5 linked regions of the Oryctolagus cuniculus genome follow. The protein of the gene in region 2 interacts with the protein of the main gene of each other region in a pairwise test. Links are inferred from orthologs where the notes say so. Each region holds a gene or a part of one and is shown on either strand. Other genes may lie near its edges.

Evidence for each region.
Region 1: the proteins of PTPN9 (region 2) and AGTRAP interact in binary tests that used the Homo sapiens proteins (3 or more experiments, as listed by UniProt). The two-hybrid records come from large-scale screens. The link is inferred for Oryctolagus cuniculus from reciprocal best matches to the Homo sapiens genes PTPN9 and AGTRAP.
Region 3: the proteins of PTPN9 (region 2) and MAL2 interact in binary tests that used the Homo sapiens proteins (3 or more experiments, as listed by UniProt). The two-hybrid records come from large-scale screens. The link is inferred for Oryctolagus cuniculus from reciprocal best matches to the Homo sapiens genes PTPN9 and MAL2.
Region 4: the proteins of PTPN9 (region 2) and CREB3 interact in a two-hybrid assay, tested with the Homo sapiens proteins (2 studies listed by BioGRID and IntAct). The two-hybrid records come from large-scale screens. The link is inferred for Oryctolagus cuniculus from reciprocal best matches to the Homo sapiens genes PTPN9 and CREB3.
Region 5: the proteins of PTPN9 (region 2) and RTN3 interact in binary tests that used the Homo sapiens proteins (3 or more experiments, as listed by UniProt). The two-hybrid records come from large-scale screens. The link is inferred for Oryctolagus cuniculus from reciprocal best matches to the Homo sapiens genes PTPN9 and RTN3.

The regions. Positions count from the first base shown.
Region 1 is NC_091438.1:156,693,235-156,696,743, forward strand, and holds part of AGTRAP (type-1 angiotensin II receptor-associated protein), read right to left. Parts: intron 2,373-3,509; coding exon 2,267-2,372; intron 1,534-2,266; coding exon 1,338-1,533; intron 1-1,337. UniProt on the Homo sapiens protein: Appears to be a negative regulator of type-1 angiotensin II receptor-mediated signaling by regulating receptor internalization as well as mechanism of receptor desensitization such as phosphorylation.
Region 2 is NC_091443.1:108,418,046-108,422,283, reverse strand, and holds the start of PTPN9 (tyrosine-protein phosphatase non-receptor type 9), read right to left. Parts: upstream 2,810-4,238; 5' UTR 1,948-2,809; coding exon 1,885-1,947; intron 1-1,884. UniProt on the Homo sapiens protein: Protein-tyrosine phosphatase that could participate in the transfer of hydrophobic ligands or in functions of the Golgi apparatus.
Region 3 is NC_091437.1:145,008,528-145,012,814, forward strand, and holds the start of MAL2 (protein MAL2), read left to right. Parts: upstream 1-1,479; 5' UTR 1,480-1,583; coding exon 1,584-1,712; intron 1,713-4,287. UniProt on the Homo sapiens protein: Member of the machinery of polarized transport. Required for the indirect transcytotic route at the step of the egress of the transcytosing cargo from perinuclear endosomes in order for it to travel to the apical surface via a raft-dependent pathway.
Region 4 is NC_091432.1:198,639,756-198,643,876, reverse strand, and holds the start of CREB3 (cyclic AMP-responsive element-binding protein 3), read right to left. Parts: upstream 2,806-4,121; coding exon 2,368-2,805; exon of another isoform or gene 2,364-2,367; intron 2,267-2,363; coding exon 2,129-2,266; intron 2,032-2,128; coding exon 1,884-2,031; intron 1,808-1,883; coding exon 1,740-1,807; intron 1,621-1,739; coding exon 1,531-1,620; intron 1-1,530. UniProt on the Homo sapiens protein: Endoplasmic reticulum (ER)-bound sequence-specific transcription factor that directly binds DNA and activates transcription. Plays a role in the unfolded protein response (UPR), promoting cell survival versus ER stress-induced apoptotic cell death.
Region 5 is NC_091432.1:7,434,864-7,438,839, forward strand, and holds the end of RTN3 (reticulon-3), read right to left. Parts: intron 2,981-3,976; coding exon 2,922-2,980; intron 1,876-2,921; coding exon 1,830-1,875; 3' UTR 507-1,829; downstream 1-506. UniProt on the Homo sapiens protein: May be involved in membrane trafficking in the early secretory pathway. Inhibits BACE1 activity and amyloid precursor protein processing. May induce caspase-8 cascade and apoptosis.

The sequences.
Region 1 (3,509 bases), on a different chromosome or scaffold from region 2:
GCACTGTTCAATCCCCCCATGAGCCCACGGGGCACTGTTCAATCCCCCCGTGTCTCCACGGGGCACTGTTCAATCTCCCCATGAGCCCACGGGGCACTGTTCAATCCCCCCGTGTCTACACGGGGCACTGTTCAATCCTCCCATGAGTCCACAGGGCACTGTTCAATCCTCCCATGAGCCCATGGGGCACTGTTCAATCCCCCCATGAGTCCACGGGGCACTGTTCAACCCCTCCATGAGCCCACGGGGCACTGTTCAATCCTCCCATGAGTCCACGGGGCACTGTTCAACCCCCCCATGAGCCCACGGGGCACTGTTCAACCCCCCCATGAGCCCACGGGGCACTGTTCAACCCCCCCATGAGCCCACGGGGCACTGTTCAATCCCCCCATGAGTCCACGGGGCACTGTTCAATCCCCCCGTGTCTCCACGGTGCACTGTTCAATCCCCCCATGAGCCCACGGGGCAGGTACTTTCATCGCCCTCCCTTTGCAGGTGAGGACACCGAGGCTCAAGGGGTCAGAGCCCTGCCGAGGTCACACAGCCTGGCTCAAAGCGTGGCAGCAGGGCCCGGGGAACATGCTTCCCAGCAGCGCTCAGGACCCCGGCCCACGGATGCCAGCCACAGGACATCGCAATACCATATCCAGGAGAGATATCCATATCTGGATTCTTGCACAGTGGCCATGCCCAGAGGACGTGAGCCAGGTCCCTGGCAGGGTGGTGGGCCTCCAAGCACCCTGCACATTTGTCCTGGGATCCTGAACAAGTCCCAGTCTGTGGGCCTCAGTTTATTCATCTGTGCAATGGGCGGGCATTCCACCCTGGGGCAGGTGCAGGCACTGCTGAGGTTGCCAGGGTAGGGGCCCCAGCTGCTCTCCCAGGTCAATCATGGGAAACTCAGGCCTCTGTTCCCAGGAGTAGAAAGTAGACGCCTACACCCCACCACTCCCCACTTCTCAGGGGAGGGGGAGGAAGTGAGGTCATGTATCAAGAGGGCAGGAACACTGGCTCAGCACCATGAGAAGGGAGACCGGTTCTGAGAGCGCAGGCGTGGGCAAGCGTGGGGCTGGGCGGGGCCGTGGTGTCTTTGCTGACGCTCCCAGCCCACCCAGCATGGGCTCTGCACAGGACCGGGGAGTCCCCATGTGCCGGAGAGGGGGGCCAGGGCCAGGAGCAGGTGGGCACCGAGGGCGGGCCTCAGGCCGCAGACTGCCCAGAGCTGCCCCCGGGAAGTGAGCCACACCCCAGCTCGGCCTCAGGCTGACAGCTGGCAAGGGTCGCGTGCCTGCCCTTCCCGGGATGGGGAGACCGAGCGGCCGGGGCGGCGTCCTCACCTGAGTGGAAGAGGTGCTCCCCGCCGCGCTCCTGGTACATGTGGTAGACGAGGTAGCAGGAGACGGGCTTGAGGAGCAGGCTGAGGATGGCCATGCCAGCCCCGAAGCGGCTGGTGTCCGAGAGGCCGGACCGCGGGTAGAAGACGCCGAGGTGGATTATGTCCAGGACGACGGTGGCCAGCAAGCCACCCAGAAACTGCAAGACACGCCATCCTGTGACAGCCCGCCCCGCCCCCGGTACCCCTGCTGCCACCCCACTGCGGCAGCGCGCGCCTGGCCGGGTGCTGAGGACCTGCTGGCAGACCCCTGCGGAGGGGCTCCAGTGGGGATGCCAGGGCCCAGGGCTGGACCCAGGCTGCTGGCACCATCACAGCCCCAGCCCTGCCCACCTCCCCGTCACCCCTGGCGCCGTGATGGGGACCAGGCTTGGTTCCAGAGCCTCCAAATCGGAGGCCCCCTGCAATCCAACCCATCTGTCTCCACCACAAAGAAACTCCCTTCCTGATCACCCTGAGAGGCCACGGCCTCAGCCTGAAGAGTCTCCTGCTGGGCGCTCACCACCTCCCGGCACAGCACGTGCTGGGAGCCCCACACCATCAGCAGAGCTGTGTCGCCGATGTCACGAAGCAGTGGGCTTCCCTTGTGGCCACATCCCTCCTGAGAGCCCCAGAGGCAGGTCCCAGGGTCATGAGCGACTGCTGGGGACAGCAGGCACTCTGGGGTGCCACGTGGAGCCCGCGTCCTCCCTGGGGCCCGCAAGAGCAGACCTGCGTTCTCAGAGCGGGCCAGGCCAGTGAAGGCCAGGCGGGCTGGTAGCCCAGGAGGCTCAGTTCCGAGGCTGCACCCGTGCACAATGGGGCCCGAGGCGGAGGGAGCAGACTGGCTGGGCGAGGGAAACACGGCAGGGCCCCGGCTCGGCCCAGGCTCACCATGCTTATGGCGTCAATGGAGTCCCGCTGGGCCACGGCCCACACGCCCAAGGCCAGGACGGTGAAGTTGGCCCAGGCGTAGGATCCTGAGAACACGATGCAGCCCCTGCAGGAAGAGGCACCTTGGTCAGGTCAGGGGGCCCCCACCCGGCAGGCGCCCGCCCCTCCTGCAGCCCCTCCCTCCTGCACAGGGTCCCAGGCCTCCTGAGAAGCCGTGCAGTCTGCGAGGCCGCTGGCACCGTCTCTACCTGCCCCCTAGATCCTGAATCCGGTCACATGGTCCCATCCTCGCCCGAGCACCAGTGGCCACGGCCAAGGCCAAGGCCACCCCACACTAGTCTCCCTGCTCCCACTCCTGCCCCCTGCAGTCTGTTCTCGAAATAGCAACAGTATCGGCAATGAGACAGGTCAGTGCCCTGCTAAAAATTCTCCACTGGTTTTCTGTCGGGAATAAAACAGCTCGGCCTCTGAGCACGCGCCCCTCTGGTCCTGTCAGTCTCAGCTCAGATGCTAACTCCGAGACCCCTCCCCTCCCCACCCTCCTCGCTGCCTCTCAGCACGTGCCTGCCCGGTTCAGTTTTCAGGGCGTGGCTCCACCACACTGCTGTCAACTCAGTGAGAGCCGGCCAGCTCACAGGGCACCGGCTGCTGTCTGCAACAGTCCCGAGTGCGTCAGCGTCACCCGCCTCCGTGCTCTGCGTCAGTGACAGCTCTGGGAGGCGGGCACTCTTCTTACCCTCGTCTTGGGGATGAGGGAACGGAGGCACAGGGAAGCTGAGCAACTCGCCAGGGCTCGCACAGCTGCCGAGCGGCAGGGCTGGGCTTGAAGAGTCGGCTTACAGCCGTGTTCCTGCCCCTCTGCTCGGCTGCATGCAAGACCCAGGCAGCGCGGTCCGGGCTGGCCTGCCCTCTCACCGTGCCCACGACGCGGCCTCATGTGCGGCAGGGTGCCTCTTTTTTTTTTTTAAGATTTTTAAATTTATTTGAAATGAAGAATTAGAGAGAGAGAGAGGCAGAGAGAGAGAGAGAGAGAGAGAGGTCTTCCATCCACTAGTTCACTCCTCAAATGGCCACAACTGCTGCAGCCAGGCCGATCTGAAGCCAGGAGCTTCTTCTGGGTCTCCCACATGGGTGCAGAGGCCCAAGGACTTGGGCCATCTTCTACTGCCTTCCCAGGCCATTAGCAAGGAGCTGGAAGAGAAGTGGAGCAGCCAGGACTCGAACTGGCACCAGAGAGGAGGTC
Region 2 (4,238 bases):
GGGGGGTGGCCACGAGAGGAAGCTGATGCTTTAAAGAGATCCTCAGGAAGGTGTGAGGATGAGCAGGGGCCAGGGCACAGCAAAGTGTCCAAGACTGCTGGGTTTCTGCAGCCTCACTGTGTAACAGGAGGCACCAACCAGGAGGATCTGCCCCAGAAGCTTCCGGAAGGCAGCGCACACACCCCAAAGGGGCCTGCAAGCACATTACTTTTGCCTGAAAATGTGTTTAGTCTCCACCTTACTTACAAAACAGGATTCCCAAAGAGCTTCTTGCTATTTCCAAAACTCGAATTGACTCTCAAAAGGACAAGGATTTTCCAACACCAAGATATTTTGAAGACGCTGCGGAAGCTGTGAAATCAACCCAAATGAGTTCTGAAATGGTTTGAGCAATGCGTTGGGCAGCATCATGGAATGAAAGTGCCATTTCCCACGACCATCCCTTCATAAGACTCACACACAGTTACTGCTGCTTGCAGACTTTAAAGAAACAGTAACAGTTAAGACTACTCTTAGAGGACATCATATTAAAATAGAAGAGCAAGTATTACTGTAATTAGAACTATGTTTCTTTTATGTTTATTTCAACGTTTTGAAAGACCTGTAGAACATTAAGCATTTTGTAAGACGGGGGGAAAAAAAGAATCTGATGAAAACCTTTTGTGAATATTTCAATATTTATTTTCTCCAGTGTTAATTTTTTAATTTATAATCTATACCATTGTCATACAGACCTGATGCCTTTGAGTTTCATAAACAGAGAAATTTCAAATCTGACAGAGCTGAGGGAGGAGGACAAGGGAAGACGCTGGTGTCTGGAATACCCAGCCAGCCCACCACACCTTAGTACGGACGCCTTCGCCCAGCAGGGGACACCTGCCCACCTCCCTCTGAATGGCGTCCAACTGCAGCGACCAGGCCCCTGGGCTTGTACCAAGCCGAATTATTTTTATTTTTTTTTTAATTTTATTTTTTCCCTGCATGCTTATTTTATCTCACAGCACCAAAAGGCAAAACTGGGTCTGCGACCAAATGTGGAAAATGCCATGTCCACAAATGCGGAGTTAAAGTCAGGGGCTGTTGAATAAGCCCCCTGAGCCAACATCGCTTTGTAAAACCAGGCTGCCCACACCCGGGGGCCTGGCCAGCTGGAAATGGGTCACCCACGTGGTCCACCTTGTCCTTTCTCCCCGTTTTTTCCTTATTTTATCACTTAAAAAAAAACACACACACACACACACACACGGGGAGTCAGCCAGCGGCTCTGTGTGAGCATAGCGGGGGCTGAGCACGGGCCACGCCGAGGGAGATGGAGAAGCCCTGGGCCCCGCCGCGGCGGGCACACGCAGGGGTCCACGGAGGGGTCCACACGGAGGGGTCCACGTCCCCGCGGCCACGGCGCGGGGTTGGGAAAGCTCCCGGGGCCCTGGGCTCGTCCCTTCCCCAACCGCCCCCCCCCCCAATGACACCGCAAACCACTTCCTCCAGGGAACTGAAGGTCACAGCGGTTAGGGACAATGGAGCCCAATGCAAGCTTCCGAAAGATGGAGACGCGCAGGAGAGGTGGGGCAGGCAAGCGGGGCTGGGGGGCTGCGCCCAGCCCGGGCGGCCGGGCCGCCGAGGCCTGCCAGCAAGCCTGGGGCAGCCCTGTCCCCAGCGCCATCTCCACCCTCCCGGGGAACCCCACAAGCCCTGACCAGGGCAAACGGCGCGACACCTACGGCGGGCGCAGGGGCCGGGGCGGCAGGCGGGAGGCGCCCGCTGCGACTGCGGCGAGGCCCGCAGCCCCAGGCCCGCAGGCCCCGGGCCCGGGAGCGGCTGCAGGAGGCAGCGGCCGGCGCAGGCCCCGGGGCCGGACACACCCACCGCGGCGGCCCGCCTTACCTGCTCCTCCTCCGGGGTCAGCTCCGGCGCCATGTCGGGCCGGGGCGCGGCCGCGGGCTCCATCCCGCAGCCGCCGCCGCCGCCTCCCGGCGGACTGGAGTGGCCCGGCGCGCTCGGCCTCCGCTTCCGCTTCCCCGCGCCTCAGCAGCCCGAGGCCGGCTCGCGCATGGCCGGGCGGCGGGGCCCTGCGCCCGCGGCCGCTCCCTGGAGGAAAACCTCTCGGGGCGCCCGCTCGCGTCTGCGGGGAAGACCCTGCTCCTTTTCTTCGCTGCCTCCCTCACTCTCCCGAGGGGAGAAGGCGCAGGCGAGCGGGCGAGCAGACGCCCGGCATCAAAAGAGGAAATGGCAGATCAAGAGCTCGCGGAGGCCGCTGGCCTGCGGGGCCTCGCTGCTGGCCGCGCCGCCGGGCGTCCCCGGGGATGCGGGCCCTGCGCCCCGCGCGGCCGCCTCCCGGCCCGGTTCCTCAAAAGCGGCGGCGGCGAGAGGGAGGGCGCGAGGGGGCGGCGTCCCCCGCCCGGCTCACGGCCGCGCCGCGCCCGCCCGAGCCCCCCGCGGCTCCATTGAGAAAGTGAGCGTCTCATTCACGAGCCGGCGGCGCGGAGGCCCGGGAGCCAGGGCGCCGGCCGGGAGGGGGAGGCGAGGAGCCGGGGAGGGAGGGGCCCGGCGGCCGGAGGCGGCTCCGAGCGCGGGGAGCGCGAGCGGGTGCGTTTCTCCGGGAAACGTCCTCTCGGGCTAACTTCCCGCTGCCGCCTCCGTGCGGGGCGCCAGTCCTCCGGGCCCCACCCCGTCTTTCCTTGTGCCCCTCACCCCTAAACTGACTGCGAGGCTACACCCTGAACCCTCAGAGACAGGGAGAGATGGGGAGGGGAGGGAGGAGAGAGCCTGGGAGAGACGGAGAGGGGGATGAGACAGGGAGAGACGGGGGGAGGGAAGGGAGGAGAGATGGGGAGGGAAGGAGGGAGAGCCAGGGAGAGACGGAGAGGGGAGGGGAAGGAGGGAGGGGGGAGGGGAGGAAGGAGAGAGACAGAGACGGGGAGGGGAGGGAGGAGAGATGGGGAGGGAAGGAGGGAGAGCCTTGGAGGGATGGGGAGGGAAGGGAGGAGAGACGGAAAGACGAGGGGTAGGAGGGAGAGGGGGGAGGGGAGGAAGGAGAGAGACTGGGAACTGGGAGAGACAGGGAGGGGAAGGAGGGAGAGGGGGGAGAGAGAGCCAGGGAGAGATGGGGAGGGGAGGGAGGAGAGCCAGGGAGAGACGGGGAGGGGAGGGAGGAGAGATGGGGAGGGAAGGAGGGAGAGACAGGGAGGGGAGGGAGGAGAGACAGGGAGAGATGGGGGAGGGAAGGGAGGAGAGATGGGGAGGGAAGGGAGGAGATGGGGAGGAGAGGGAGGAGAGAGACAGGAAGAGATGGGGAGGGAAGGGAGGAGAGACGGGGAGGGGAGGGGTAGGAGGGAGAGGGGGGAGGGGAGGAAGGAGAGAGACTGGGAACTGGGAGAGACAGGGAGGGGAGAGAGAGGGGGGAGAGAGAGCCAGGGAGAGATGGGAGGGAAGGAGGGAGAGACGGGGAGGGGAGGGAGGAGATGGAGAGGAGAGGGAGAAGAGAGACAGGAAGAGATGGGGAGGGGAAGAAGGAGAGAAACAGGGAGAGAGGGGGAGGGGAGGAAGGAGAGAGGAGGGAGGAGATGGAGAGGGGAGGGAGGAGAAGGAGAGAGGAGGGAGGAGATGGAGAGGGGAGGGAGGAGATGGGGAGGGGAGGGAGGAGTGGGGAGGGGAGGGAGGAGTGGGGAGGGGAGGGATGGGGAGGGGAGGGAGGAAGAAACAGAGACATGGAGGTGGCAGCAGCAAGTTAGCTCGGGAAGTCACCTGCTGGCGACAACACCCAAAGGTGGGGTTCTCAGCCAGCTGAAGAGGCTGAGTCTGGGTTCTGCCGCCCCCACCCCAGGCTTTGGGAAGCAGCCCAGGGCAGGGAGCAGTGCTGCTGGGCTCTGTTGGTGTCCAGGCGCAGGTCCTCACCCACCCAGGAGTTAATTTCTGTGCTGCACCCAGACTCTGCGGGAAGATGTTATTTACATTTATATGCCAGGCCCTGGGCTAGGCACTGCAGACACCAGAGTGAACAGTCCTTATAAGCATATGGACTGAGGTATCATGGACTGAGAAGAGGGCTTGGTGGGCGTAATATGCTGTCCTTCGAATGAAGAAAAAATGAAATGCATGCACCCACAAAGGCACATGTGCACGGAGCCTTCGGAAGGAAGAACACTCAGGAATGGCAACAGGGTGGCGGGGGGGGGGGGTGAGAGCTGGGAACAGAAGCGAAAGGGGAGACCCCTCCCCACACGGGCTTTCCTGTGTTC
Region 3 (4,287 bases), on a different chromosome or scaffold from region 2:
TCAGAAAGTAATGACTAAGAGGGAGAGATGATAGGAGGTATAAAGAAAGGTTTCACCCACACCCTGCTTTGTGGCTTTTACCCGATGCCACCACCACACCTATGAGTTTCGATTATTAAAATAATGAGGTAACTACAACTTGCTGAGTAGTGTACAGAGATAACCACAGTTCCTCAAAGGCTAAACCTGAAAGACAAGAGTAAGATCCAGTCTGGAAAATGTCTGACCATGTCCACTAATATTTTTTCCAAATTAAACAATATGTATGTGTTGCTGTGTGCAGCTTTGTTGATCTTCAGCTGCTTTGTTTCATCTGCTTTGTTTCACTTACAAAGTGTGGACATTAAAACCAGGAATAAAATGGAGATACATCTGGCAGGAGATCTAAACCACACATAGAATGCTTTAAAAAAAAAAAAAAAAAACCTTCAAAGAGTTTTGGGGCAGGAATTTGGAGCAGCAATTAAGATCCTACTAGGGACCCTTGCATCACATGTCAGAGTTTCTGGGTTCAGTTCCAGCTCCACTTTTGATTTCAGCTTCCCCTCCCTGGGGGTCAGCATAAAGGCTCAAGTAATCAGGTGCTTGCGCCTGATGTGGGAAAACCCAGATGGCGTTTATGGGGCTGGTTCCTTGTTCCCTGCCCTCGTCGTTGAAGGCATTTGGGTAGTGAACCAGCAGGCGGGAGTGTTTCTTTCTTTCTCTCTCTCTTTCTCATCCTCTCTCCTCTCCCTCTTTCTCGCTCTCTCCCCTTCTTTTGCTCTGTCTCTCAAATACATTTTTATGTCTCTTTAAATGTTAAAAAGGAAAGAAGTCAGCTTCATACAGGTGAAATTAAGGATTAAATTTCTATGTGGAAAATACAATCTTCCAGGCAGCATCATGTACCTGCTGTCCTACGCAGCTACCATTCGAGAAGCGTTTACTATGTGCCAAGTTCTTTCCCCTTGCCCGCTGTGCCATCTGATGTGCACATCTATGCGTGGTAAATGCCCTCATCCTCATTTCCCTGGAGGGCTCCGTGCCTGCAAACTTCACCTACAGCCAATCCGTGCGGGAGCAAAGACCCTACTCGGTCCGTCCTAGAACACAGGTCCTTCATTTCTCAGGTGTGACTTATGACCTCGAGTTTGCCTCTTGAGTCATAGCCCCAATACCTGCTCTCCTCTCAAATTGTGGATTCTGGGCGAAGCCGGGCTGTGAGACTGGAGTGGAGGCGGAGCCAGGTGAGAACAGGTGGAAACTAAGAACGACAGAAGGTAAAAAGTAGAGCAGGGCCGTGGGGACGGGTGTTGGGAGACTCCGGGAAGCACTGGGCGCTAGCTCGCGGAGTGGGAGGGGCAAGGAGAGCTGGGCAGCAAGGAGGGTGCCAGGCGGCGGCCGCACCTGTGCATGTGACCGCCTCGGGCGCCGGGCGGAGGTGCGCTCACCTGGGCCCACGTGACGGGGCGGGGCCTCGCTTGCGGAGGGCCACGCCCCCTCCCGCTCCGCGCGCCCGGACCCCGCGAACCGGAGCTGCGCCGGGAGGCGGAGGCGGGAGCCGGCGGCGGCGGCGCGCGGAGACGCAGCAGCGGAGCGGCAGCATGTCGGCCGGAGGGCCAGTCCCGCCGCCCCCGAACCCCGCAGTGTCTTTCCCGGCACCCCGAGTCACCCTGCCCGCCGGCCTCGCCATCCTGCGGACCTACTCGGGTGCCTTCGTCTGCCTGGAGATTGTAAGTGGGGCAGCGGCGGCCAGGGTCGCGCCCGCGGGATAGGGCAGGCGGCGGCATCCTTGTCCGGCCTCGCCGGTCTCCACCTTTGAGCCAGCCCTCGGCCGCCTCCTGTTTGACGAGGCCTTTCCCTGCACCCCCTCCCGTGGTCCTCTGCATACCTGGCGCGGGCGCCTGGGCCCTTTCGCCTTGGCACCTGTTACGCCGGCACCTGTTTCCCCCGCCGGCCACGGAAATGGCCTCGGGAGAGGCGCAGGTGGACGGGCGGGGCGGAGGACTGGGGACTTGGAGAGAAAAGGGCTGTTTGGGCTTGGCAGGGGGCCGGCTTGGCTAGAATGGGAGCCAGGGATCTGAGTCTCGCCTGTTGCTAACCTGCCATTTTGTTGGGTGCTGCAAAGGTGTAAGCGATGACTGGGTGACCGGGAGTCTTCCACAATGTGGAAAGCGAGGGCAAGAGCCGGCAGGGAGAGGAGGAGGAGGAGGGCTGATGACCTGGGCACGGTTTCTCCCCCGCTCACCCTTGCCATCATTGGTGCCCTTTGGATTGGGGAAAGGACAGGGAGCAGAGGCAGGGCAGGGAGAAGGGTGAGGTGTGCACGCCGCTCTTGGCAGTTCTTCATCAAGTGGGCGTGAGAACTGTGGCGGAAAGATGGATGCGTGGTTGTCAAGTCCTTCTTGGCCTGCCTGTCTTCCTACAGGAATCCAAACCTCAGCATACTTTGTGGGGCTCAAAGAAAGGTGGAGTCACCTGGCTTTTTCTTCCTGCTCTATTCACTTGAACTTTTTAAAAGGAATTTTATGGAGTTGGAAGCTTCTGAAGGTGGTTGTGGACAGGCGGGAATGTGCAAATATAAATTGGGCAATGGAGGTTGCATCATGCCTGAGAATGGCAAATAAAGAGTGAAATGTTAGCGAAGTAAGGCCTTTTCCACAGGCTGGTTTTGTTTGCTTGGTTTGGGGTTTTTGTCTCTCCCTTCACCCTCAGGTTGGAGTTTGCATAACCTGCATTTGGGTCATCTCGGTTTCGCTTTTGCGCTTGCGAGGCTGCGATGCCCTGTGAGCATTGTTTGTTTTGTTTTTCATGGTGTTGTACAAAGGTGGTCACACCACTCCACATTAAATGTAGCTAAGGTTTGAATCTGAGAGAAGTGGCATCTGTGGCATCAGGAACTGGATCCTGACTGCGGGACTCGGAGAGGCTGGGTTGAGTCGAAGCCGGGTTCAGGAGCATCGGAATGCTTGAGCTGAGGCACTGGCATCTATTTAACAAAAGCAGAGAGATGATGGCTTTGGGCTGGCTGCACGCTGTCGGAGAACAGGAGTGGTCTGGGGAGACAGATTTGATAGGTTCCGGGCTGCTTTTCCCCAACCTCCAGGTGTTTTCCTACCTCTTTCGGAAGTTTTTGCAGTATTTCTTTCTACCTGTACCAGAATTTACAGAACGTTCACTTCAGTAGACTCACTCTCTAAACTTAAGTACTTTCTTGAGCTCATCCTAAGTTATAATATATATGAAATCTTAAATTTGGTTTGCTGCTCTGTGTTTCTAATATTTATCAAACATGTATACATTTCCATATATATATATATGTAAAGATACATATATTCAATGAAGGCTTTTCCATATGATGTCAAATCAAATACCATCTCAAGCACTATCTGTGACCATGTCACTCTTTTGGAAACACTACCTAATTCTAAGGAGAAAAGGGGATGAAAGATGACTTATTCAATTTTCTCTTCTCTCTTTTTTGTTCTTTCTTTCTCCCTTTCAAATCTAGCCAAGTAGTTAGTGCCCAACTCTCACTGTAGTTAATAACTTGACTAGTTTTAAAACTACTGTTGCCAGTTCAGACTAATTAAATCAAAATCCCTAGAGAAGCACCCAGAATTAGCAATTTTTTTTCTTTAATGAAAGTTTCCCCGGAGATTCTAATATACAGTCATGGCCTGGCATCACTGATGGAGTCCTCCATCAAGAATGTAGAGAACACAGCTCTTCTTGCAAATGTGAACTTCCTCCATTAAAACTTTTAGCACATCACAGAAGGGATCCCAGACTCACAAAAGTATCTGTTCTACTGTTCTACCCTTTTTATTGTCTGTTACTGCAGTTTTCTTACCTGACATGTGTCTAGAACACTTACTAGATAAAACAGCATCACTTCCACATGTGTTTTTAGTTTTAAAAACTAAAAAAGTGTTTTTCACTTTTTATGCCCAAACATTTTATAGGTTTACATCTCTTTTTCAAAAGATTTATTTATTTTATATGAAAGTCAGAGTTACAGACAAAGAGAGAGAGAGAAAAATAGAGAGAGAGAGAAAGATCTTCCATCCATTGATTCACTCCTCAGATGGCCATAATGGCTGGGGCTGGGGCTGGGCCAAGCCGAAGCAAGGAGCCAGGAGTTTCTTCAGTGTCTCCCACGTGGGTGTCAGGGGCCCAAGCACTTGGAACACCTTCTGCTGCTTTGCCAGGGGTGTTAGCTGGGAGCTGGATCAGAAGTGGAGCAGCCAGGACATGAACTGGCATCCATATGGGATGGCAGTGTCTCTATGCCACAATGATGGACCT
Region 4 (4,121 bases), on a different chromosome or scaffold from region 2:
AGGAATCCCTTGTCTAGCCTCCCTAACCAGTAGCCATTTTGGTTTCCATCAGAATGCCTCTAAAGACCAGGTGTTAAGATCACAGGTGCCAGAGCATTTTTAACAATTTCATTCACTGAAAAATTTCTTACCCTGAATTAACATCTGCCTCCATGTAATTTCTATCCATTGAACTTATCTCTGGGGTCGTGTAGAACAAAATTCTACATAGCTGTTTTAAGGCTGTTGGCATTTCCTCAGAGTTTAAAAAAACACACACACAAAAAAACCCTGGACAGACTTCTTAACCCAACATTTCACCATCACTGCATCCTCTTGGTATCTGTCAAAGATACAGGCCCAAAACTGGGCACTTAAAATGCACTGTGATTTGTACAAAAGACAGCAAGACAGTCTTGCCTTTTTAGAGACAATGCATGTATTGACGCTGCTTCCACATCCCACTTGCTTTGCCATATCTCACTGCTGACTCATCTTGTACTTTTAAGAAGTTAAAATTTCTTTAATAAGTACTTATTTTATTACAGGGTCACAATACTGTGCTTGTGAAGTCACCACCCAGTGTTGAAACTTAAAACTTATGCTTCTACATTTGTACTGTTAGAAGGCTTAGTCCAGGCCGGCGCCGTGGCTCACTAGGCTAATCCTCCACCTTGCGGCGCCGGCACGCCGGGTTCTAGTCCCAGTCGGGGCGCCGGATTCTGTCCCGGTTGCCCCTCTTCCAGGCCAGCTCTCTGCTATGGCCTGCAGCTCTCTGCAGTGGAGGCTGGCCCAAGTGCTTGGGCCCTGCACCCCATGGGAGACCAGGAGAAGCACCTGGCTCCTGGCTTCAGATCAGCGCAGTGCACCAGCCCCAGCAGCCATTGGAGGGTGAACCAACAGCAAAAGGAAGACCTTTCTCTCTGTCTCTCTCTTTCACTGTCCATTCTGCCTGTCAAAAAAAAAAAAAAAAAAAAAAAGAAGGCTTAATCCAGCCTCATTGAACTCCCTAAAACAATTCTCCCATTCAGCGCGATGTAGATTACCACCAAGCCGATGAACTCCAAGTGGCAGAGCCCTTCCCTTGCACAGTCCTGCCCAAGGCCCTACGCTAATGTTGCATTGATAATTCTGAAATCTTTTTTCTTAGAACACCAAAATGTGTTAGAAGCCTCACAAAACCAGGATCCACCCTTGCATCTAGCATATTAACCAACAACTCTGCTAAGATGTTCACCTCTTAAGTGTATCTTATTTTTGACACTGATATTACACACATCTATAGGATACAGAGTGACATTTAAGTAATGTATACAATGTAAAAATAAGTAGGGCAGGGTAACTGGCACATGTATCACTGCAGACATTTATCATTTCTTTGAATCAGAAACTGAATATCCTCTCTGCTAGCTATTTTGAAATGCAGCTGCTACCAAGCATAACGTTAGAAGTGACTCCTATCTGACTGCATTCCGGTACAGGTCGACCAGCCTCTCTGCACTCTCCCTCCCCTACACCCTCCAGCCTTTGCCCCACCAATGGGAGCCTTACCTTGGTGAGAGGAAGCGTTCCAGGCAGAGTAAGCCCCTCCTTCTCCAGTAGCCTCTTCTCCTCCTCGGTCAGTACCAGCCTAGCAACCTCCTGAGGTTACGGGGAAGTAGGCAGCAGTTGCATGGGGATGTCCGAAAGAAATGGGAATTCCCGCCCCGCCCCGCCCCGTGCAATGTGGGGATAAGCCTCCTGAAAATCAAGTCAGCTACCTGCTCTGTTGGCTCCTCCACATACAGCGGAGTCATCGGAGCCTCCTCCTTCCCATAGCTCCCACTATCTGCAAAAGGGCAATTGTGACTAGCCGGGCCCACGGACCCTCTCCTCTAGCTCCCAACTTTTCTGATGTCACTCACCTACGTCCACGGAGACATGCTCCTGTGGGAGGGAGTAAGTGTGATCGTGGTGCACAGGCGAGGGCTCGCAGGAGCTGAGGTCGGCCAACGACGCCGGGGGACTCAGCAGGGTGCTCAGCAGATCCTCTGCCTCCCAGTCGCTCAGTACCTGCACCGGGTTCAAATTCCCAGGCCCTGGCCTGTCACTGACACCCGGGTCTCGCGGACGTGCCGCGCCTCCCTGACGCGGAGCCCTACCCACCCACCTCGGAAAGCGGCAGCTCCCAATCCGGGGGCGCCTCCACCGACTCATCGGCTGCCTCCCCCCATGCTCCGCTCTGCTCGAGCAGGAAGCCGAGCAGGTCCTGATCGCCAGGGTCCAACGCCAGCTCCATCTGCGACATCTACGGCAGAAACTCAAGGGTTCACTTCGCAGCCCGGTTCCAATACGCGAGCCCCAGGCACGACCCCCAGCCCAACCGCCGGGTCTCTCCCGCCTACCCACCGCTCCTCTTCGGCTGGCCTTCCCCGCTGCCGGGGCGGCAGTCGCTGTCAAGCCCGACCCACCCACCCGCCGGACTCCGTCGCCCTCGGCCTCCAACACAGCACAAGTGACGCACGCGGCCCCGCGGCCTCTCGGGACTTGTAGTTCCCTCCGAGCCGGAAGTGGCTCGGGTGCTGCGCCACGTCCCGGGGGCGATGCAAATGAGGGGGACGTCCCCGCCCCGGGGGCGGGGACACCGGCGACTCGCCTCCGCCTTCGCCCCGAGCTAGAAAAAAGGAAGAGTCCGAGTGTAACAGGGAACTCGGGCGCCGCTGGGGTGTTTTCTCCGGATTGCGCCGCGCCCTGGCTTCCTGCCGGGGAGGGGCTGCCAGTCTTCGGCGGGCTCGCGAGCATCGAGAGCTGGGGCCAGAGCAGCTTCCTGCAGGTCCCCAAAACCATAGAGCGCGGGCCCAGGGCGCCGCCCGGGGGTGGGGGACGCGCCGGGGACGGAAGTGGCCGAGTGTGGCGAAGGGAGGGCGAGGCCGGAGCCGGAGAGCGGGCCCGGAGGACGAGCAGGGCCGGCGGGCGGGGCGCAGAGCCGGGCAGCGCAGGTAGGCCGCGGCGGGCCGGGCCGGAACCTCGGGGTGGGGCCGCGAGGTCTGGCCCGGGAGGCGGGCGGGCGCGGCCCCTGACTGCGGCGCGTCTATGGCGGGTTCTGGGGGAGACGTCAGCTTCCAGGGTGTCTCGGCAGGCCGATCTGCGGGAGGTGGCTCCTCTGCGGGAGCAGTCCTTGGCCTGGAATAGGTTTTGGGGAAGGGTGAGGAGTGTGGCGGCCGCGGGGCGCAGGGCGGGGATGGGCTTTGGTGTTTGCTGATAGCGGGGATGTTGGGCTGGAGAGCTGTGGATGAGTCTGGGTTTAGGTGGGGTTGGGTTTGGGAATCAAGGGTCTCTTTAGGAGGTGTAAGGCCGGGGTTAACGCTTGAGTTATTGGCGTGATTTAGATCCGTTTTATAAATAAGTGAGGTTGAGGTTGAGGTCGTTATTTTGTTTCCTGGGATGACCAGAGGTAAGTCAGAGTTAAAAGAGTTCAGGGTCAGGTTAATGGTCAACAACAGGAATTAGGTTAGAAGTCCATTTTAAGGATCATAGGATATTGTCGTGGTCAGTTTTAAGGATAAACAGTGAAAAGGTGAGTTAGGAATCAAGTTACAGGTGAGCTAATTTAGACTTAGGGGTCAACATTTTGGGTTAAAGTCAGCAGATTTGGTGCTAACGGTAAAAATTAGTTGAGCCTTAGGGATCAAGGATTGGATGCTTGCTGGTCTCTGCTAGGAGGGGGATTCTATGAGAATGAGGAAACAAATTAGGGCACTAAGGGCAGACCCAGGCCAGGAATATTGACCTTGGGCAGATAACATTTAAGAGGTCGGCAATAGATCGATGCCTTTGGTGTGTGTGTGTGTGTGTGTGTGTGAGAGAAAGAGAGAGTGGGGGGGAGGGAAGTCCCCTCATTTTTATTTAGTCACAGGAGCTTCTTTCAGCCAGAGAGATGACACATTTTGGGTTGGGGTTCTGGACTTCAGGTAGAATTTCCTCGATTCCTCTCTAAGCTCAATGCTGTTGCTGTGGCCACCACAGTTACGGGGCAGGGATTGCTGGACTGTGTTCTGTATGAGATGGGAGGTGGGCAATGGCCAGGGACCCAGGCAGTGGGGACCACCCAGGGAGGAGGAGAGCAGTGGCTAAGGGGGAAGCCGACCAGGGGCCACCGTTGT
Region 5 (3,976 bases), on a different chromosome or scaffold from region 2:
TATCACATCAATTTGCAGTTTTACAGGAACCAAGAGTCAAGCTCCGTAGGTGCTACTGTATTCGTATGTTGCACGCACAGACACGCACAGTTTCATTAGTAATGTTTTCATCTATAGGTTTTTCTTTAAAAAAAAATCCTGCGTGGCACAAAGATCTCTCCAATTATCTAAAGACAGCAGCAACAGAAGACAAGCTGGGTCTGGAGGCGTCCAGTGCAGAGGTCCTTTGGGGGGGGCCCAAAAGACAATCAGTGCATCGACTTCCTGGGAGGCAGAGGATGACGGAGTGCATCTCCCACTGCGATGTGAAATCAAACAATCACAAGGAGAGGGGACTGAGAAAAGAAAGTGGAGTAAGGCAAGGGTACCTCTCACCCATCTAAATTCCTAAGCAAATTTCCCCAAAAACTGTAGACAAGACAGCTTCCTGCCACCATCGCACATGGCAGCCCTTACTTGGTTGGAAGTTCTCAGTGCCCCTGCGTGGCCGTGACTGAAGGGGCTCGCGGATGACTTTTCTTTCAAGTTCACAGATGTCTCATGGGGAAGGGGAGGAAGAAACTTAGTCTCAAAGCGGAGCCAAACCTTCCTAGTTGCCCTGCACCTGATGTTCCTTCCATGCGCACAGCCCCACAACACGCGCTACCCCCTGCCTGGTCACCTTCACCTAGAACTTCCTGGAAAACTCCCCGCAGGGACACCCTGGGCCAGGGCAGAGCTGAGGCACTTTGTGCCTGCAAATGGAAAGAACCCTCAAAACACAGACCCATAAAGCCAGCACAAAGCACTTACAACTCCCTAAGACCATGAACTGCACTTCCCTACACTGATCTGTGGTCATGTGGCACGGCTTGGCTTTGGTCCTCAGGCGAAACTGATGAACACAGGTTAAAGATGCAGCACGTGATGAAGCAAGTCACAAGGGAAACACAAAGAAACAAGGCTGTTTGTGTCTCTGTAGGTCACCTTGTGAGGCCATTCCCCCCACGGACTGAGACAGGGTCACAATAACTCGGTAACTGGGGAGCCCACATGCAGGTTATTTTTTCTCTAACAAGTTTACAGCAGTGTACAGCAGTTACAGACATTTATTTCATAATAAGAAAAGTACAACCATATTTATTAAAGAGGGGAGGTGGGCAGGGAAGAGGGGAGCACACCCAGGAATGAGTTCTCACATCACTGCCCAGAACTGGCGACACGCAGACACCCCTCCCAGACGGCGGAGCCCTCCTGCCCCTAGGACAAGTCTACTTTCCACTTCCACTCTGGGAATCAGGAATTCTCGCGAGCCCGTTAGGTTATCCAGAGTTGGAAGCTGTTCCATTAAGCGAAGAAGAGGACTGTTAGCAATAGCTGCTCACTTTGGAGGGCGGGAGGATGGGATCGCAGGGCTCTGGGGAACCCCAGGGAAGGCATCCCACTCCTGTCCTCAGATAGCTTCTTCATGTGTTAATCATTGCTTCTTAACTTAAAAACAAGGGCAGAGCTACAGCGGAGCTGCAGGAGTCGCTCGGTCCTTCGCCCCGCCTTCACTGCCCACCTGTCCCCTGCCGAGCTGCAGGGCAACGGTCCTCCACCACTAAGGTACTGATCCATCCCACTAATCTGAGTCTTTCCTTATTCCTCTAAGATATCAGTTCTTCTAGTCCAACATTTCTTGTGCTTGATACTAAGGGCAAAGGGAAGGGAAGGGAGAAAACACCAAATTAAAAAACAAAGCTTGGAATGCAGGCTCACGCTGGCACTGAGCACGCGCCTTCACAAGTCAGGACGTTATAACTAGGAAGTGGGGTTTAGTAACTGTTGCATTTCTGGCTTCCACGTGCTTATTCTGCCTTTTTCTTGGCAATTCCGGGGAGCTTTGCTTGGATCCTATTGAGAAAAGAAAAGTACAACGGAAGTGAAAAATTTGTCCCAAGTTTCAGTTTCAACAGGGGTGCTAGAAGAGGTGCGGGCTCCGTGGGGAAGTCTCCTGTCTTCACAGGGAGCAGGGTGTGAGTGGCGGCCGAGTCTGGCGTAGGGCGAGCTTGGGGTGGGAGGAAGGTCTGGAAAGATCCACCCCACCCCTGTCCCTTTCACACCAGGGGTCCGCAGAAAAATGTGGGGACTTGAACACAGTGTTCCATGTCCACAGGTCACCCTCTGGTGCTGGCGAGGAACCAGAAGTCAGGGTCAAGGAGACAGGTGAGGAGGCCATGGGTCCTGGTTTTGGGTGCTCCCAACTGCAGGAGCTGCCCCCCGCCCCTGGCAGGGTACCAAAGCTGCCCATTGCTCTGGCGAAGGTGTCACTCCGGTCACCCGCTGCTAAGGTCACAAGTATCACACCCGCGGCAGAGGACCCACGGCAGCTGACCCTGGCGACCAAACCATCACGCCCCAACCACCTCTTACAAACCAAACCACCAGATGGGGACTGGTGCTGCAGCCAGCCTGGCGTTAGCACCAGTGCAGTCTGGCATCAAGTCAGACTTCTCTGGATGCACAGTTTCCTCCTGAAAAGTTGTGAAAGTAACTTAGGGCACAGAGAGGTTTTAACTCTTTGTGACTCTGTTTCTTACTATCTGAAGAAAACAGAAAAATGTTAGCATTTTAATTTGAAGTGTTGGGTTCACATTTATTTGTTGTGAATAATTTAAGACAAAAAGGATACTCCTCGATGTAAGCAGTCACGGAGGTGGGGAAACCACCAGCTGTTCAAAAAGGCAGCGTGGTCTTCATTCCACTGCTCCTTTGTAATCTGAGACACAGCATGTTTTTTAAAGTGGTGAAAATAATTTCTTACTAAATCAAGCTATTAACCAAGGTTTTCTTCAGGGTGAAGGTACCTTTCTTTGTAAGCAGCATTTTATACAGAGGACTATGCACCACTGAAGAACAAAGCACAATGGCGATGACATGAGATCCCTAAACGTACTCACTTGTCAACGATCGACTTGGTCTGGTCCCGAGCGATGCCGACATAGTGATCGATCTGGGTCTGTAAGGAGAAGAGCAGAGTCAGTCGTGGCAACACAGAGGTGAGCAATTTTCCTGAAGGCACTGTTGTTCCCTAGTTTAACCACTCTTTAAATACTACTGCGTATGCTGGGAGGGGAGAATGATGCCCAGAAATTTAAAAATTTCTCGTTTCAGGGGCTGAAGTTGTCTGTGTCCCATATCAGAGGGCCTGGGTTTTTTGGGTAAAGCCAACAACTGCGATGCTGGCATGAATCCCAGCTGCTCCGTTTCTGATCCAGCTCCCTGCTGATATGCTTGGGAAAGCAGCAGAAGATGGGCCAAGTACTTGAGCCCCTGTACCCATGTGGGAGACCCAGATGAAGCTCCTGGATCCTGTCTGAGTGGCTGAGCCAGGCCACTGCAGCCATTTAGGGAGTGAACCAGTGGGTGGAGGATCTCTTTGTCTTTCCTGCTCTCTGTAACTCTTTCAAATGAATGAATGAATGAATGAATGAATAAAATAAATAAGTCTTTAGAACACAGAGTGCCTGGGTTTAATGTCTGGCTCTGGGTCTGGCCTCTAGCGTTCCTGTGCACGCAGACTGTGAGGCAGTGGTGATGGCTCAGGTGGAGGGATCCCACCACCAACGTGGGCTACCTGGATTGAGTTCCCTGCTCCTGGTTTCAGCCCTGCCCAACCCTGGCCACTGGGGTAATACTGGGCATAGGATGGTCATCAGATGGAAGCACTTTCTCAAAAAAAAAAATAAGCAAACAACAAAGAAAAAAACTTTTTGGTTTCAGACTTGAAATTATGCCACATTTTGCTGAAGTAAAAATCACTTATCTCATGCAGAGGTAAGACACTGGTGTAGACCATTTTCTATATACAAGAAACTGTAAATCTAATCTACATTCTGTAATCATACATGTTTTACTACCCCATGGGTAAGGCAAATACATTTTAACATCAAAAAGCCAAAAATAAGGGCCAAAGTTGTAGTGTAACGTAGGTCAGGCTGCTGCTTGTGATGTC